Linked DNA regions of Danio rerio. The protein of the gene in region 1 purifies or fractionates together with the protein of each later gene. This does not show direct contact. Links are inferred from orthologs where the notes say so. Each region holds a gene or a part of one and is shown in the gene's direction. Other genes may lie near its edges.

Region 1 (4,206 bases):
TTAGCTGCCAGTGGGTCAATGTAAATACAGACTATGGACTTGAAAATACAAACGACTGACTATTTTATTGAGCAAAAACTCCAAAAGCAGTTGAGGAGATCTCCTAGCTTCTCACTCTGCTCTTTTCACAGACACACACACACACACATATTGCACAAACACACACACGCACTTAACCCTGCTCCGAACGACAACGCGCGCGCACACACACGCACACACACACACACAAACACACACACACACCTCCGGACGACAGCACACGCACACACAGACACACACACTACTCCTCGTCCACGGAGCTCCGTTAACGCAGCACGCGTCGCGTTTTTAACGTGACTTTGCACGCGATAAGAGAATATAGCCAGTTAACCTGATACAGTACACGCGGTTACAAGTAACAAATCACAACTAAATACATTTGCAAGCTAGAGTCAACGAGGCAACTTTAATCGCACGTACTTACACTTGAGAAATGGAGGAAGAAAAATCCTGACGTCCATCAATAAGTCACTCTTTACTGATCCTTCCTTTAACAAACGCTGATGAAGTATTCTTTGTAGCATGTAGCTTCCAGAAGTTTCCAGTAGTTTCCAACTGCTTGGTTATAATGCTGAGGTTTTATGTTTGGGTAGAGACTCAATATATCCATCTGCAGTGTGACTTCAATCGACCGGCATGTTTGTGTGTGTGTGTGTTTGTGGGTGTGTGTTTGTGTGTGTGTCTGGGTTTCTGCGTCAGAGGGCGGGGCCTCAGGTTTGAAATCTCCCGGGTTTGCGCGTGCACGTGAATAACTTGGTTTCGTTCGTACGTCATGGCGAAACACCTAATGAATCGGTATCAAGGCGACTCGTTTGAAGCACTATGAGTCGACTCTTTTATAGATGAATCAACCGTTTTAAACACTGTACACTAACAGATTTAAGCCTTAGCTGGATACTTCACTTCACTTAGAGCTGTGTTACACAATACATGGAGGGGAATTTTCAAAAACCCATAATATGGGCTCTTTAAAAAGAATATATTTTAGAGCAGTGGTACCGTGTAACCATAATATTTTCATCCAAGGTTATCATACCGTCAGAATCTTATACAGGCCGATGTCTGCTTGTCAATAAAAAAAGAAGATAATATTAAGAGGATAAAACTGAGAGAATGTATGCAAGTATTTCTCAGATAGTTTGTTCGTATTTTTTATAGTTCTTAAAATAAACAAAACAAACAAACTCCGTTCAAAGATACACGCAACTTGCAAGCTCGTCGTCAAACGAGTGAAAATTGTAGTATCTCATACTGTAAAATATTACGTTTGTAGGACTTTTACTTTGACGAGTCGTTTTTCATGGAAAATTACACACGTCAGCTGGCTTCACATCGTTGTTAGCAGCGGCACGGAAAGACATAGCAGTGCTTCCTTAAACTCCAAACAAAACATGCGTTATTGCTTTTTCCCTTAGGGTTTGAGCAAACAACTTTTACATTTTTACGCAAATTATATTTTTATCTGAATAACAAGAATGGAGCATTCGGTGCCCAAAAAGTAAGTCACTATCTCGGCTAACCAGTTAACAGCTAAGCTAATATTTACAGGCCTCATCTGAGCAACGAAACTGACACTTCAGATCGCCGACCGAACTATAAAAGATCGTTTGGTTTATATTTAGATGTTCGTATTTATAACTACATGATCAATACTTCAACGCAGTCTGACTTCATGCAGTTTTGTTATATTGTAGATTCTAGTTTTACGTTATAACTGCTAGTGTGGGATCCAATGATGTTTTATGCATTTAATAAAGTAACGTTTCGACTGTTTTGATCAACAGTAAGCTGAAGAAACTCAGTGAAGACAGTCTTACCAAGCAGCCAGAGGAAGTATTTGATGTTCTTGAAAAGCTTGGAGAAGGGTGGGTAGCATAATATTTGTCAACATAGGTAGTGAATATGAATGCTTATGTTTTGTTTGACACTTCTACATTTCAAATGCACTTTGCTTCAGATCATATGGAAGTGTTTTTAAAGCCATTCACAAGGAATCAGGCCAAGTTGTGGCCATTAAACAGGTTCCTGTCGAATCAGACCTGCAAGAGATCATCAAGGAGATCTCCATAATGCAGCAATGTGACAGGTAAAACAACATACTTAGTTTATATATTTATTATTAATGTAAATTTGGATGTGTGTGAAGAACGTAACAACATTTTCATTCCTCATTGTGTTTTAACAGCCCATATGTGGTGAAGTACTATGGCAGCTATTTCAAAAACACAGATCTGTGGATTGTGATGGAGTACTGTGGTGCTGGATCTGTGTCTGATATTATTAGACTGCGCAACAAAACGGTGAATAAAAATACTATGAATGCACTATATAGCATCATCAGTGTAATTTAAGTTAGATTATTATATCTAAGAGATATTGATGTATCAATAGAGCTTCATAACAGAGACTTTTATTTGCTTGACTAGCTTACTGAGGATGAGATTGCCACGGTCCTCAAATCCACACTGAAAGGTCTGGAATATCTCCATTTTATGAGGAAAATCCACAGGGACATCAAAGCCGGGAATATTCTCCTCAACACTGAAGGTCATGCTAAACTAGCTGATTTCGGAGTAGCTGGACAACTTACCGTGAGTTTTTCAACCTACCTGCTAGATTGCATAGATTGATGTGGTTTTATTTGTTAAAAAATAAATAATATTATAATAAATACATTGATATAAGTAATTTAACTAGGGATGCACAATATATCGGCGGCCATATCTTTATTGCTGATAAATTTTATTTTGTTATTGGTCCGAAATCAAAATTAGGCCAATATCTTAAAGCCGACAGATTACGTAATTGTACAGACCTGCCTGCCTTGCGCATGCGTTGGTCGACCTTGTTCAGACGTGTCCAGTGCACTATAACGTAGCTTATCTCACATTGTTTATTCATCCATCCTTTCTTTGTGTGGTATTGCTGTGCGCAAATAACTCTGTAAGTAACCATATCCCTTATCAGATATGTTTGATAGAGTATCATTGTGTATTTTGGTTTAAATCGCCTCAGGCAAAGTATTAAATGTGTAAATATAATAGCAGCGATGCACACATGCTAAGCAACTCGTTGGGTTGTTTGTAATCTAATATGATTATTTGTTATTATCAACGCGTTGCTTGCCATTCGTTGTTGATGTAAGATTGTATTCGGTTTGATTTTGTTATTTAACCTATTGTTTTTATGCAACGGTCTAGTTGGATGTTAATTTTCTAAGCAATGAAAGGGAAACCATTAAGTTTTGGAATGCTTATTTATGTGAAATCATAAATTTAGGCCTATAGTAGGGTTGTCCACACTCGGTCCTAGAGGGCTGGTGTCCTTTAGGGTTTAGCTCCAACCCAAATCAAACACACCTGAACCAGCTAATCAAGCTCTTACTAGATATACTAGAAACTTCCTGGCAGGTGTGTTTTAGCAAGTTAAGCTAAACTTAGCTGGACACCGGCTCTCCAGGACCAAGTTTGGACATCCCTGGTCTATATAATCACCTTACAATTTTGAAATTATTGCTTTTTTGTTTTGAGTATAGACTATTCAGTTCATAAAGCCCTGCTCACACTAAGATTTCAGCCACAATTTTGTCATCTGAGACGATGGGAAATCCTAAAAGATTCTTGAAATTCGTGATCTTTGATCGTTGGTTTGACATGTTCAGTGACAGATGCTTAAAGCCCGTTGCGATCAGATTTTTTTTGTGACAACAGCTGCAATCTGAGAACCAATAGGACCTCAGAATTTGATGTCACAATCTATGCAACAATTCAAATGACCATGTGAAAATGTCAAAGAGTCTTTTTCATTCTGGTTTTATTATTGAGACACGCCGTGTGCAAAATTGCAGCTACAGATTGCGGGGATAGTGGGATAGTGAAAGTGTCACGGGTGGATGACGTCAAACTCCGGGGGCATTTTCTTTCATGTTTGGTGCATTTTCATTGTCGTTCAGTCTGACTTTATGACAGCTGAGATCTTACAGTGTGGCATGGGAGCCATGTTCGAGCAGTCTGACATGCTACAATCATTTAGGATTATAAAAAAACAATCGCACAGTGAAAGCCGGCCTTAAGATCAGTTCAAACTTTTACAAAGTTTAAAAAAAAAATGAAATCAGTTGTTCACTGTATAAAATATAACATTTTGAGATATTTATATTTATCGGCT
Region 2 (4,204 bases), on another chromosome or scaffold:
GTGTTTATTTGTTAGAGCCCTTTTTATAGAGCCAGATTGGTCTCAAAAATATTACATTTAAATAATATAATTCATATATTCACAACTCAAGTTACAGTTACAAAATCCAATTCATAAATTCTAAACGAGATTCATTAATAAACAAATCCAACTTGTAAATTGAAAACATGATTCATAAATACACAAATCCAATCCATAAATTAAAATCGCGATTTATAAATACACAAATCCAATTCGTCAATTCAAAACGCGACTCATAAATACACAAATCTAACTTGTCAATTCAAAACACGATTTATAAATACACAAATTCAATTCGTAAATTCTAAACGTAATTCATAAATACACAAATACATTCCGTCAACTCAAAATGCGATTCATAAATACACAAATACAATTCGTAAATTTAAAACGTGATTCATAAATACAAAAATCCAATTGGTAAATTTAAAATGTGATTCATAAATACACAAATTTAATTCGTAAGTTCAAAACGCGATTCATAAATACACAAATTTAATTTGTGAGTTCAAAACGCGATTCATAAATACACAAATCCAATTCGTCAATTCAAAACGCGATTCATACATACACAAATTCAATTCGTAAATTCAAAACGTGATTCATAAATACATAAATCCAATTCGTCAACTCAAAACGTGATTCATAAATACACAAATACAATTGGTAAATTCAAAACGTGGTTCATAAATACACAAATCTAATTAGTCAATTTAAAATATGATTCATAAATACACAAATCCAATTCGTAAATTCAAAACACGATTCATAAATACACAAATCCAATTCATAAACTGAAAATGCGATTCATTTACACAAATCAGATTCGTAAATACAAATCGCGATTCAAAAATACTCAATCCAATTCATAAGTTTACATGCAATTTATAATTACTCAAATTCAATTTGTAAATTTAAAATGTGATTCATAAATACACAAATCCAATTCGTAAATTGAAAACACTATACAAAAATACACAAATCTAATTAATTTGGTGAAAGTATTTATGATTTTTGCTTGTGAATTTACAAATTGTTGGTTGTATTTACAAGTTGTGTTTTGAATTTACAAACTGGATGTTGTAAATGTGAATTGTGCTGTGCATGGAGGAGTTTTATTATGTACATGTATTATTTTTGAGACTGATCTGACTGGCTCCATACTTTTTTTGTCTGTTCAACAAATTGTTTTACCTGTTGTTGTCTTGCTTGTTGATTGTAAATGAAATGCTATTACAAAAGAAAAAAATAGCATCCGAAAAATGAACAAACAAACATTATTTTCAATCCGCATGAAAAACGTCATCCTTTTTCTCTGGAAACGCGGATCCGCCTACATTTTCGCGTCACCGCAAAGCCCCGCCCCATATCTCGGTGGTGCGCGAGCCCCGCGGCGGTTTGTGGCCGGTGTGTATGTGTGTGTATATCTCTTCAAGAGGACGACTTACTTCCAATTATCCCGTCGCACACAACGATTTCCCTCCCGATTTCAGCGTTCCGAAAAGCGGAGACCTCCATGGCTTAACACGGGACCGTGTCATGGACTTTATTCGTGTATGACTTTCTTTTCTGGGGAAATTTTTGTGTCTCTCAGCAGGCTAAGCTAGTTACCGAGCTCGCGAGCTAATACTGGATTTACGCAAATTCTCCGCGCATGAAAGTTCCACAGACCGAACAAATAGCTGGTTTTCGGGGATAAATCAGCTCGGGGTTATTTATAAAGTCTCTTCCAGCTTGGACGGCTCGATAAGGTGAAAGTAGAAGGCCAGTGTTACCTCAGCGAAGCTAACAAGCTAATATGAAGTTAGCCAGCTAACGCTCTCGTGCGCAAGAAAACACCCTCCGCGCGAGCTGTGCTCTTGTATACAATCCTGACAGCTAAATACTTGCATTTGAAGTCTGTTTAAGTAGGCATTTGAGGTATTTTTCAATATTAATTACTCTGTCTTGGGGAGTGGTGGCTTGATGGTCTGCTCTGCATACTTCAGCCAAACCCACTCACATTATTATTAATCTTCATTACGGTTTAACATTTTCACAAGTGCATTTCGTGCCTAGCAGTCATTCCCTCTAAATATAGACACGCATGTCAACTTGACAGTAATACTTCTTTTTTTTTTTTAGGAGTAAAGGTTGACCAATTCAACAGGTTATTGGTGTACTAGTTGCTGGGTTGTTTACTGGCCAGGCCTATGCTTGTAAAGGGGGACGAGGATGAATTGTGTTGGGAACGAAGTATAACAGCTCGAATTGTGGACTGTCATCTGGACACCCAGATTTGTATGGAATTGGGCAGCTGTATTGGGTTTGGTTCGGCAACATGGGGGTCTCGCAAGGGGGCAAGAAGTCATCTACATAGTGTATAAATATACAGTCTTGTTGACGTTATGTAGTCGGTTTAGCAGGGGTCTTTTTGTAGAGTTGGAATTTTTTTCGTATTACTATGTGCGTTGGTCTGCTGGTCATTCATTAGGAAGAATTGGAGCAACAGGTCAGTCTGGATCAAGAAACCCTGTCTTTCGTCTCTGGTTGGAGTAACACTCCCAAGCCATCCTCAATGCCTTCAGCGCTGGCCGTGTTCTCCTGCCGCCCGAATTCACACCCGTTTCAGGAACGCCATGTTTACCTGGATGAGCCGGTCAAGATCGGGCGCTCCGTGGCCCGGTGTCGCCCTGCCCAAAACAACGCCACCTTCGACTGCAAAGTGTTGTCGAGGAATCACGCTCTGGTATGGTTCGACCACAAGACAGGCAAGGTAAGTCTGATGTTTCACCAATAGATTGGATGTTAACTATAAACATTATTCATTAGATGTACTTATTTTTTTTAAGGTAAGTGGTTGCAAAAATTAGCATGAGCTGAATTTAAACAAATAAACGTTACTACATTTAGTTTGTTTAAATTCAGTCTATATAAATTGTTTGCAACCACTTGCCTCAAAAAAGTTAGTAAGTCCAATGAATATTTTTTTCAGTGTTTGACATATCCACCTCCATCTTTCTTGAATTATTAAGATTTTCTTTGTATCTATCTGTCAATGTTGTCACAATTGTCTGTACTAGGATTATATAGATAATATCCCCACCCAAAAGTAGATTAAGATGGAATTTATGGCTAAATATACCACTGCATTAGATCAGTGTTTCTCAACCACGTTCCTGTAGGACCACCAACACTGCATATTTTGGATGTCTCCTTTATCTGTTACATTCATTACAGGTCTTTCAGTCTCTGCTGATGATCTAAATCAGGTGTGTTTGGTTAAGGAAACATGGGGTGTTTCTCAATAGGCGTTTTTCAGCGATCCTGCGTCCTCGTGTTCTTCTGTAATGTCGTCATTAACTGCCTATGTTCAGTTCCAAAACTCAAGACGGCAAGAACGGAGGACGCGTGAAAGTTGCCAGATGTGTTCTTGATATCGTAGAGTCATCGATGCAGACTTGAGCACAAAACTTGCTTGAGAAGTCCTAGAAGTCGTTGTGGCTGTATGAAGGAGGTGGGAAGCGCAGCATTTTATTTAGATTTATTATTAAAGTTTAGAGATGTAACTTATTTACTTCAGGAGTTTCCCTAAATGAGACGGTGAATTTAAACATTACCATGTAAATCATAATAATGGCATAAGCACATAAAGGGTGTTTACTTGTTGAAATTCGTGTTAAAATTAGTTTTATTTGTATTGTGAAGCATATATTTGTACGTTTTTTTTATGCATGGTATATATTATGTATGGGGGAAAACAATAAATCGTTGTTGTAGGAATGCTGTAATGTTTAAACCATATTCCATTAAAAACATGTGAAGGTCACGTCACCATCAGGAAGACCCAGGGAAGAACACAGCATCTCATTTCTCACAGGATGCGTTCTCTGTTCTCAGCGTTCTAGGAATTAAGAGACAGTCTAGGAACATGTGCAGAGCTGGTGGTCCTCCAGTAATGTGGTTGAGAAACACTGCATTAGATCACAGGTGTCAAACTCAGTTCCTTGAGGGCCGCAGCTCTGCACAGTTTAGTGCAACCCTAATTAAACACACCTGATGAAACTAATTGAATTCTTTAGGCTTGTTTGAAACACACAGGTAAGAGTGTTGAAGCAGGTTTGGAACTAGACTGCAGGTCAACGTCCCTCCAGGAACTGAAATTGACACCCCTGTGTTATATAGTAAATATATTAGCTTTTTC
Region 3 (3,517 bases), on another chromosome or scaffold:
AAGTTAAAGTCACAGATAACTGCAAAAAGTTTAGCTGAGCTCATAGAAACAGGCATACTTTTGTTGGCCAGGTTTTTAGGAGTATGATTTCATCTTTTTGGTAACATCAAATTGGTAACATTTTGGTAACATCATTCATTTTTTGTAGATATTGCACTTACATGTTATACCTAAAAATAATCTGCAAATGTTTCTTGTAGTACATAAATAGTATAAACTCTGTTTACACCTAGGTACGGCTAATGGTCTCAGACACAGCCCATCATAAGCTGCTTGTCCTGGCAGGACAGTGCTTTGAAAATACAGGCGAGCTGATTCTTCAATCAGGCTCCTTTTCTCTCTCCAGTTTCATTGACATTTTTACAGATCAAGAGGTAAGTGACTGTTTTTCTTGGTGAAAACATGCACTTTACACTGTAACCTGACAATGTGACCCTGGACAACAAAGCTGATTTTATGTTGCATGGCTATATTTTTGGCTATAATATTGGCAATTTTTGTGTAAACGTTGTTGTGGCAATTTTTGGCAGGTTATGTGTAATGTGTATTGCAATGCACTTTGTGTAGACAACAAAGCTATTTTCTTTGTATTTAGATTTTAAACATATTTCAAACAGTTGTATTTTGCCCAAATATTGTTAAATCCTATTAAACCATAAATTAATGGAAAGCTTATTTATTCACCTTTCAGTTGATGTATAAATCCCAATTTTAAAAATTACATTACTGGCTAGTTTTGTGGTCCAGGGTCAAATTAAGTAAGTAACATATTTCTAATTTGACTTACAGATTGGAGAGCTTCTTAGCACCGTACATCCAGCCAACAAAGCCAGTTTAACCCTTTTTTGTCCTGAGCATGGTGACTGGAAAAATTCAAACCTGGACAAACACAACTTACAGGATTTCATCTACATGAAGCTAAACTCCCCAACCATCCTTCCAGAAATGGAAGGTCTTTCTGAATTTACAGAATATCTGTCAGAATCTGTAGAAATCTCATCCCCATTTGACATGCTGGAGCCCCCAACCTCAGGGGGGTTTCTAAAATTATCAAAACCATGCTGCTATATATTCCCTGGTGGACGGGGTGACTCTGCATTGTTTGCAGTTAATGGTTTCAACATGCTAATTAATGGTGGATCTGATAGAAAGTCATGCTTTTGGAAGCTGGTACGACATTTGGACAGAGTAGATTCTGTTCTCCTTACACACATTGGAGATGATAACCTTCCAGGTATCAATAGTATGCTACAGCGCAAAATAGCTGAACTAGAAGAGGAGCAGTCACAGGGGTCTACAGCTAACAGTGACTGGACAAAGAATATGATCTCACCTGATATTGGTGTTATGTTTGCCAACATGCCTCAGAACCTGGAAAATCTTGAACCCAACTACAGAATTAGAAGAAATGCAGAGGAGGCAGCCTTCACACTGCAGTACTTAAACAAGTTGTCTCTAAAACCTGAACCTCTGCATAGGAGTATAGGTAATACAGTAGAACCAATTATACTATTCCAGAAAATGGGGGTCGGAAAGCTTGAAATGTATGTTCTTAACCCAGCTAAGAACAGTAAGGAGTTGCAGTTTTTTCTGAAAGAATGGTCTGGTAGTGATAAAGACAAAGCGACCATCTTGTTACCAAATGGAAAAGAATCAGAACTCCCCGTGTCATATTTGTCCTCTATCTCATCGCTGATTGTGTGGCATCCTGCTAACCCATCAGAAAAGATTGTCCGCGTCCTTTTTCCAGGCAATTCTACTCAGAATCATATTCTAGAAGGCCTAGAAAAACTTAAACACTTAGACTTCCTCAAATATCCTGTGATCACACAAAATGAGCTCAATTTAAACTTAGCCCCGACACTGAAACAAGCAAAGATGAAACATAAGACAGACAGTAAAGAGAGTCTCAAGTCCACATCAAAACCATCCCCTACCAAAAATCTCCACAAAGAATCCAGGGAAGAAACCACTGAAAAACTAAAAACTGTAAGTAAAACTGAACCAGCAGAAAAACAGGAGCCAACACAAAAAATAGAGAAAAAGGAAAAAACACTTGTGAAAAAAGTGAAAGCAGGGGAAAAGGACATTAAAAGCAAGGTTGAGCAAACACACAAAACTGACACTCCAGAGAAAAAGAAAGTTGAAATTAAACCAAAAACTATAAAGAAGGAATCCAAAAAATCTGTGGAAAAGACTGAGACTGTTAAAACTGAAAAAAACGTACCCAAGAAAGAAGACAAGGTTAAAAAAGAAGACAAGGTAAAGAAAGAAGAAGTGAAAAAAGAAATTAAAAGACGAGACGTCAGGAAAGACTCCCTATTAAAGGAGAGCAGAAAGGATGAAAAGAAAGAATCCCTAAAAGATTCAAAAGAGCCAATGAAAGATTTAAGGAAAACTGGTAGCTTGAAAAAGAATGCCCCTAGCACACCTGATGTGAAAAAACCTGCACCTAAACCAAAGGTTGCAGCACGTGGGAAGAGCCCTGGTAGCCCTGCCAGATCTAAAGACAAGGCCAAGTCCAAGCCCACCAAAAAAGATGCAGGAGAATCAGTGGCAGCACCTTCCGTCTCAGGAGCCACGGTTGAAGAGCCCACCGTGGAAGACAGTGCAACAGATGTACTTGAGGCAGAGAGATCACTTATGTCTTCTCCAGAGGACCTCACTAAAGATTTTGAGGCTTTGAAAGCAGAAGAGATGGCTGAAGATGATGAGGTCCTTTCTCAGACCAAAATAGACGATTCTAATCAAGAAGAAGTGATTAGACATGAAGAAATAACTCATTGCAAAGAGTCTCCAGAAGCAGCAGAGTCCCTGGATGAAGGAATAGCAACCACTGAAGCTGAGGAGGAATGTGGAGGTACTCCAGGGGAACTAGAACCCAATCAGAAAAGCAACGGTACCAGTGAAAAGTTTGAAGATGAAGGGACAGGGTTGGAAGAGTCCTCTGAGTTAGGGGACTATGAAGAAAAGGGAGAGACAGAGGAAGTGGATGAGCAGGACAGAGCAATATCTACATTAAAAGATGAACAGGCAGAGCTTGAAACCAAGGAAGGGGCAAATTATGGTACCGATGAACCAGAATATCTTGACAAAGAAACAAAGTTGCAATGTTTTGATGTAACCACACCACCAAAGCTCACTGCACCTTTGTCTCCTGCTGATTCAGTTCATGATGAAACCCTACCTGCAGGTTCAGAAAGTGAGGCTGCCTCTGATGATGAAAACCGAGATGAGCCTCCAGAAGAATACACAACATCTGGACACACTCAGTCTACGATTGAGATCTCAAGTGTCCCAACGCCTATGGATGAAATGTCAACTCCAAGAGATGTAATGAGTGATGAGACAACTAATGATGAAAGCGATTCTCCTTCCCAAGATTTTGTCAGGTACGGTATAACTACAGAACATGAACGAAAGAAACTTTCACCTCTTCAAGATGTTCCTGAATTAGACCACTCCAAGAGTGATGCCACTGAGGGCCATGATTATCATGTGTCAGCTTCCACCATTT
Region 4 (3,517 bases), on another chromosome or scaffold:
TCAAAACAATTAGTACAAACTGCAAAACCTAGTTGATAACCTGCAAAAGTGTATCACTCATTCCATTAGCTCATCCCTCAAAAAAGGTATTCCTGTCAATGAAAGTGTCAGTGTCATAAAAGTCCTGACACTATTGTTTATAAACAAGTCATAGTCATATGACTTTGTCATATTTTCATTATGACAGTTTACTCTGTACAATTTTTCCAATGCAAAAAAAAGTCAGATTTTGGTGACACTTCCTGTTCAAATGCTCAAGACAGCACTTTTTTGCAGTATTATATACTACTTGCCCAGCCTAAGTACAGTAAAGCTACACTACAGTAACTACAGTACTGTAAAACTACAGTAAAGTTAGACATCACTGCATTTAGTGAGGTATCTGAGTACAAGACACTGAACAAGTATGTTTCATATTTTTACTGCATATGCTCATTTCTATTCCAATGTATTCACAACATTGTACCAAAAAATAAATGCACCCTTATTTTCAACAAACATAAACTTCCTTTGGGTAGAGCTGTGCACAACTGTAAACATATTGCAGTGCATATTGGAAATGAAACTATAACATACATAGGTCTGTAAATCATTCATGAAATTGTTCAATTTAGAAAACATTTTCATATATATATATATCAACTTATAGATCAACTTTTTAAATTTTTTTTTTATAAAATTAGATTGAAAGATTCTGACAACTAGTTTAACATTTTGGCAAAGCAGTGACGCAGTAGGTAGTGCTGTCGCCTCACAGCAAGAAGGTTGCTGGGTCGCTGGTTCGAGCCTCAGCTCAGTTGGTGTTTCTGTGTAGAGTTAGCATGTTCTCCCTGCGTTCGCGTGGGTTTCCTCCAGGTGCTCCGGTTTCCCCCACAGTCCAAAGACATGTGGTACAGGTGAATTGGGTAGGCTAAATTGTCCGTAGTGTATGAGTGTGTGTGTGTGGATGTTTCCCAGAGATGGGTTGTGGCTGGAAGGGCATCCGCTGCGTAAAAACTTGCTGGATAAGTTGGCGGTTTATTTCGCTGTGGCGACCCCGTATTAATAAAGGGACTAAACCGACAAGAAAATGAATAAGTTTAACATTTTCGTATGTAATGACTCAAGTAATGAAAGGAGGACTATTAGTTTTACATGCAATGACTTTTTAGCATTCAAGTTTAGTTAATTTTGACTAACATGACATAAGCTAATGATAATGTTATAAACAGAGAGAGTTGTGAAAGCAATTGATGCATGTCCAAAAGCTTTTGCAATTTGCTGGAAGGAATGAGAAACTGCTACTATGATGTGCACAAATGACTAATTGTTTTGAGAAATGCATTAACTGTCAGGCAAATGTAAATAGTGTTGTGAGAAATGCACAAAAGCCACTGAGAAAAACTGTAAGTGTTTGAATCCTATATTTATGTTTTTTAAAGCATGAAAGAGAATTAGTGCTGTTTTAGGCTTTGTTGAAGATTCTGTCTTATGTTTTCTAATTCAATTATGTGTTTTGTGATTCGATCAACTGTGCCATTAGGGGTATGACACGATGGGGAGAATTTGACAACCTTCACAATATTGCTGAACTGGAGGAAGCTGGATCACCTGAAAATCCTACTGAAGGTTCAGTTTCTTTAACATTATTTGATGTTACAGTAGAATTTGGACTATGGTAACACAACTGATGGATCATATATGGTATTTCAGAAAATAAATGAATAAATATTAATTTACTTGAACACTTGTTCTCTTAGTAGAACATTAAAAAGGATATTTAGGCAAAATTGTGATTCTTGGTGAATAACAAAATACATATTCATGCAAAACAAAATTAATACTGTAATAATGTTTCCCTGAGAAGTTATAAAGGAAATCGATCAGTCTGTGTAACAAAGATCACAAAGAAGAAAGCATAACATTTAATCCATAGCTTTTAGTGCATCTATAAGAGTTATGGTTGTTAGGGATGGCCCAAATGGACTTAAAAGATTTATCACAATGTTTTTTGGCATTTGTGATAAGAATATCAATGGCAATATAATTCATATATATATATCCACGAAGAGATCTTTTTATAAAATAGTGGAGAGTTATTCAACCCTGCTTCTGAATGCCCACTGTGGAGTGGAGCTCAGCAATAATCAAACACTAAAGCAGCTAATCAAGATTTTCAGGATCATATAAAATACACATATCAGGTATAAAATAGATGTGCTAAAGCAGTTTAAGGCTCTTATTCATAGTTGAAGTCCCCTGAAATACATGTCAATATTATTTATGTTTCATTTAAACTGGACACAAGAGGACGCCATAGTGTATAATCTACTCATATAGATTATTAAGGATATCAGATAGGCTTCTACTGAGCAAATAGGAGACACATGATAGCAACAGATAAATGAATCAAACGTGAACACAATAAAAAAAAAATCATTGTAGCAATATATGAATTATTTATGTTCTTTAAGCCATCCTAGGTTTTGTATAAGGATAAATTATATTTATAATGCAATCTAATTGACGTCTGCTCACAAAAAAAGACACTCGACTAATGTCATGAAGTTTATTAAGTACTTAAGTCAGTAAATCTGTTAAAAAGGAAAAAATGTATTTCACATGTGCTACTAAAATAAATCACTGCAAATACTAAGTGTATATTTAATTGTAGTTATTACTATTGTTAGTCTATTGTTTCCTGTTGTGAACAAATAATAAAATATCTCCCATCTTGAATGAGTATTAATTCAGTTTTCATCAGTTTCATCATTTCTTTAAAAGTCATGTTCAATATTCTACTGAAGCAATAAAAACATTATAGATGGCCTAAGGATGAGCAAGCTAACATATTTACATTTTTGGGTGAACTATACCTGAAAAACAACTAGTGTACTACTACATTTAATAAATGACAAGTTGTTCTGCATTAAAAAAATTACTTTCATATTTCAACAACACAATCTACACTCTCTTCTAGACTACATCGTATACGAGACCATGACTTTAAGGCCATCGCGGACCATGCAAATCAATGAAGATAGTTCATATCTGATTCGCACCATGAGCGACGCCTCGCTGGTGAAAATGAGGGTGAAAAGTAAGAAGATGATTGAAAGTCAAAAGAACAGAAACCATCGCTTCTCCATCAATGGACACTTCTACAACTATAAGGTCTGTAGTTTAATTGCAATGATCCAAATGTCAAGCTTGGGCCTGTATGCAATCTATGAGTAATACAGTGTTGTTATAAGTTGTTATAAGTTATCATAACACATAAATAATACATGAATACAATATTTTTAAAAAGCAAATGTGTATGCTAAAAATTTGACTTTGAGAGGGTTAGATGCTAAATTCAGAAATGACACTTGTGGTCAATTAGTGAAATGCAGCAAGTAACTTACTGCTTGTTTTGAATGTTTCTTTATGGTGCGTTATTTATAATTTGCAAGCACAATTATGAACATGTCATCTGATGTTTGAATATGTCTGTTATGTACAGTGCAGACAATTTTGCTGACAAAAGTTACAAACA
Region 5 (3,517 bases), on another chromosome or scaffold:
TGTGATTATGCTTACAATGTTTTCATGTATTTGCATCTCCTCACACAGGGATCCGTGCATGGGATGTAGACCTGACAGTGTGTAACTTGGATGAGCAGCTGAAGCTTTTTATTTCCCAACATTCTTATTATGAATCCAAGGATATAAGAGGTACTTTGTTTTTATTGACTGAAAAACATGAGCCTCAGAGATAGGCTACACTTTTAAAGGACATTACTGGGAATCTTTTCTAGCTCATTTTGAGCGAATGATATGTGTGTGGGATGCAATCTTATGAATTAACAAAGAAGCAACTGTGTAGTTCGGCCCCAGTACAGCCCTATATACAGTATCTTTGCTATATAATACATTATTATATAATTAATAATGAAATCCTATTTTCAATGTGTGTGAGTCAGGTAAACTCACTTAACTATTGCCAGAACTTTAAAAAAAACAAGATTATTTTAGATTTCGATTTTTTTATTTCAATTCAGAAATTTGAAAAAAGACTGGTCAAGTTGGCGGTTCATTCTGCCGTGGCAACCCCTGATTATTAAAGGGACTAAGCTGAAAAGAAAATAAATGAATTATAAATATTCATTTAGTGGTTCTGTTGCCTCCCAGCAAGAAAGATGCTGGGTAATTCCCATCTGGGCTAGTTGGCATTTCTGTTTGCATGTTCTGTTCACCTGGGTTTCCTTCAGGTGCTCCGGTTTCCCCCACAGTCCAAAAATATGCAGTATAAGTGAATTAAATAAACTTAATTGGCTGTAGTGCATCTGTGTGTGTGTGTGTGTGTGTGAGAGAGAGAGAGAGTGTGTATGGGTGTTTCCCAGTACTGGGTTGCAGCTGGAAGGGCATCCGCTGTGTACAACATATAGAATAGTTGGTGGTTCATTTTGCTGTGGCGACTTTTGAAATAGAGATTATATAGAGAATAAAGCCGAAGGAATATGAATGGATAATCATTTCGATGATCTTTTTTCTTCTGCTTTTGATAAATTTGCAACACAGACTGAGGCGACAGTCTGAACATTGACCACAACAATCTAGCACCACCAAATGTTTAAAGTTGCTTTTGCTTCTTGGAATACAACATTCTTTTTATTAGAAGCTCTTGAAATGAAAATTTTCCATTGATTACAAATGAAAAGCTAACTTTCTTTTTATTACTTGATCTAAGAATATGGTCTCCATTTTATTTCGTATACAGTTGAAGTCAGAATTATTAGCCCCCCCTAAATAATTTTTTTCCCTAATTTCTGTTTAACAGAGAGAAGATTTTTTTTTTCAACACATTTCTAACCATAATAGTTTTAATAACTCTTTTCTAATAACTGATTTTTTTTTTTTATCTTTGCCATGAAGACAGTAAATATTATTTAGCTAGATATTTTTCAAGACACTTCTATACAGCTTAAAGTGACATTTAAAGGCTTAACTAGATAAATTAGGTTAACTAGGCAGGTTAGGGTAATTAGTCAAGTTATTGTATAATGATGGTTTGTTCTGTAAACAGTCGAATAATATATACCTTAAAGGGGCTAATAATTTTGACCTTAAATTATATATATATATATATATATTTTTTTTTTTAGTTAAAAACTACTTTTATTCTAGCCAAAATAAAATAAATAAGACTTTTTCCAGAAGAAGAAATATTATTAGACATACTGTGATAATAATTCTGACTTCAACTATATATGTATTAAATAAGGCGACAACATAAAACTCTTCAAAAATACCAATTTATTATATTAAAAAAGCTAACACAAAGCACACTGTCTGATGAAGAGCCGGTGTGCTCGAAACATTACATGCTTTGTGTTAGCCTTGTTAATTTAATAAATTGGTATTTTTGGAGCTTTTATGTTGTCGCCTTGTTAAATATATTTTTGCACGTTTTGATGTTTGGCCGAGCACCCATTTAGAACGATGTGTGTGATTTCCGTGCATTTTTTAATATTTTGTTTACACAGCACTCAGCATATATAAGTACACCCCTCACAAATCTCTCTTTTAAATTAATATTTATATTAAAAAGCTATACAATATTATATGTGTGCATATATATATATATATATATATATATATATATATATATATATATATATATATATATATATATATATATATATATATATATTTATATATATTAGTCAGTACTGAAGCCAAATCTGGAGCTAATCGAACAAAATAACTTACAATAATGGTACAAAAACTAGCACAGCCAAATGTATATGTTAGAGAAAAATATTAAATACAAATTTAAAATGAGGAAAAAATAACAGAAGCAAAAAATTTAAAAAATTTGTTGAAATTTTGTAGGTTGTAATTTTTTTTGCTAATAATAATATTCATTTTCAAAATGGGGTGTGCTCAATTATGCTGAGCACTGTATATGAAATGCACTATTGTGTTCTCTTTGCTCTATCGGGAGGGCAATCATTAATTTGATATTTTTCTAGTTAAATAGGGTATATCCAAACTGAGTGCAAGTAAACTGATTGGCAGCTCCTGTTATTCAAAGAATGTTGTATTAGGTTGGCGTGTTGGTCCTAATTTGCTATTCTAGAGCACAGAGCAGAAAGGCAGGAAGGAAATGCTTTCTACCAATTGTTCAGACTTTGGCTGCTGTTGGAAAAACAGCAGTGAAACACTTTTGTTGCAGCGGTTTTGAAAATAATTTTGCTGACAAATCAGACAGATGTACGCCGAACTTATACTCAGGAAATCTCACTTTTTAAAATTTGCAATACTTGGTTCTATATTTAAGATTAGACTGGCAGCATTAAAACAATGTTATGTGACTCATCATTTAAAAGACATTTCAGCTAAGTCAAGTCTTTTCATTCTTGTCCAGTAAAGGGCCACATGTTTCCACTTTTAAGTTTAGTGGAGTTAGAATTCAAAGTATTAATTCGGATTTGCATGACATCTTACATATTCTGGTTAATTTTTTTATTGACCCATTTAGTCTGTCTCCATTTTCATTACAGGTCAGAAGACATTTCATTTCAGTTCAAATGTTCTGGACATTAAAGTTGTAGTGAATCCATCTGAAGGGGTTCTCTACTCTGAGGTGTGTGACACCTAAATTAGTCTCTTCTTCATATTTTAAAATGTATTGCATTAAAAAACACGCAATATAATAATATGCATAAAGAATTCTAATATACACATTTTTAAAAATAAAATATATATTTTGAACTATAATTACAGGTTCACAGCTTGATATCATCCATACCTCGCCACAAATTGCTGGTGCTGACAGGACAGTCTCTTGAAGACTCTGGAGATCTGGTCTTGCACACGGGGCAATTCACGCCAAATGATTTCACCCAGATCTTTTCAGATGAAGAGGTTTGTTGGACTGAAAAGTGCAAAATGTAATGAATAATGTATACATAATGTGTAAAATACAGCAACATTTTAATGGGTTGTCCTCATATTTGAAAATCTAACCTATCTTTGAATATATAATTTTTCAAATGATTCTGTTATGCAGAAATATTCTAGCCATTTTCTGTTTTAA

What was found.
Region 2: the proteins of stk3 (region 1) and slmapa purify together in Homo sapiens (affinity purification with western blotting; 3 studies listed by BioGRID and IntAct, with this or other methods). This does not show direct contact. The link is inferred for Danio rerio from reciprocal best matches to the Homo sapiens genes STK3 and SLMAP.
Region 3: the proteins of stk3 (region 1) and map1b purify together in Homo sapiens (affinity purification with mass spectrometry; 4 studies listed by BioGRID and IntAct, with this or other methods). This does not show direct contact. The link is inferred for Danio rerio from reciprocal best matches to the Homo sapiens genes STK3 and MAP1B.
Region 4: the proteins of stk3 (region 1) and rassf6 purify together in Homo sapiens (affinity purification with mass spectrometry; 4 studies listed by BioGRID and IntAct, counting the BioPlex papers as one, with this or other methods). This does not show direct contact. The link is inferred for Danio rerio from reciprocal best matches to the Homo sapiens genes STK3 and RASSF6.
Region 5: the proteins of stk3 (region 1) and map1sb purify together in Homo sapiens (affinity purification with mass spectrometry; 3 studies listed by BioGRID and IntAct, with this or other methods). This does not show direct contact. The link is inferred for Danio rerio from reciprocal best matches to the Homo sapiens genes STK3 and MAP1S.

The regions. Positions count from the first base shown.
Region 1 is NC_133194.1:35,272,660-35,276,865, forward strand, and holds the start of stk3 (serine/threonine-protein kinase 3), read left to right. Parts: upstream 1-1,398; 5' UTR 1,399-1,514; coding exon 1,515-1,537; intron 1,538-1,823; coding exon 1,824-1,904; intron 1,905-1,996; coding exon 1,997-2,125; intron 2,126-2,224; coding exon 2,225-2,339; intron 2,340-2,465; coding exon 2,466-2,630; intron 2,631-4,206. UniProt on the Homo sapiens protein: Stress-activated, pro-apoptotic kinase which, following caspase-cleavage, enters the nucleus and induces chromatin condensation followed by internucleosomal DNA fragmentation.
Region 2 is NC_133186.1:44,735,251-44,739,454, reverse strand, and holds the start of slmapa (sarcolemma associated protein a), read left to right. Parts: upstream 1-1,387; 5' UTR 1,388-2,578; coding exon 2,579-2,776; intron 2,777-4,204. UniProt on the Homo sapiens protein: Associates with the striatin-interacting phosphatase and kinase (STRIPAK) core complex, forming the extended (SIKE1:SLMAP)STRIPAK complex.
Region 3 is NC_133180.1:35,902,937-35,906,453, reverse strand, and holds part of map1b (microtubule-associated protein 1B), read left to right. Parts: intron 1-233; coding exon 234-374; intron 375-789; coding exon 790-3,517. UniProt on the Homo sapiens protein: Facilitates tyrosination of alpha-tubulin in neuronal microtubules. Phosphorylated MAP1B is required for proper microtubule dynamics and plays a role in the cytoskeletal changes that accompany neuronal differentiation and neurite extension.
Region 4 is NC_133185.1:15,418,885-15,422,401, forward strand, and holds part of rassf6 (ras association domain-containing protein 6), read left to right. Parts: intron 1-1,522; coding exon 1,523-1,608; intron 1,609-2,959; coding exon 2,960-3,153; intron 3,154-3,517.
Region 5 is NC_133177.1:39,904,909-39,908,425, reverse strand, and holds part of map1sb (microtubule-associated protein 1S), read left to right. Parts: intron 1-48; coding exon 49-150; intron 151-2,981; coding exon 2,982-3,064; intron 3,065-3,204; coding exon 3,205-3,345; intron 3,346-3,517. UniProt on the Homo sapiens protein: Microtubule-associated protein that mediates aggregation of mitochondria resulting in cell death and genomic destruction (MAGD). Plays a role in anchoring the microtubule organizing center to the centrosomes. Binds to DNA. Plays a role in apoptosis.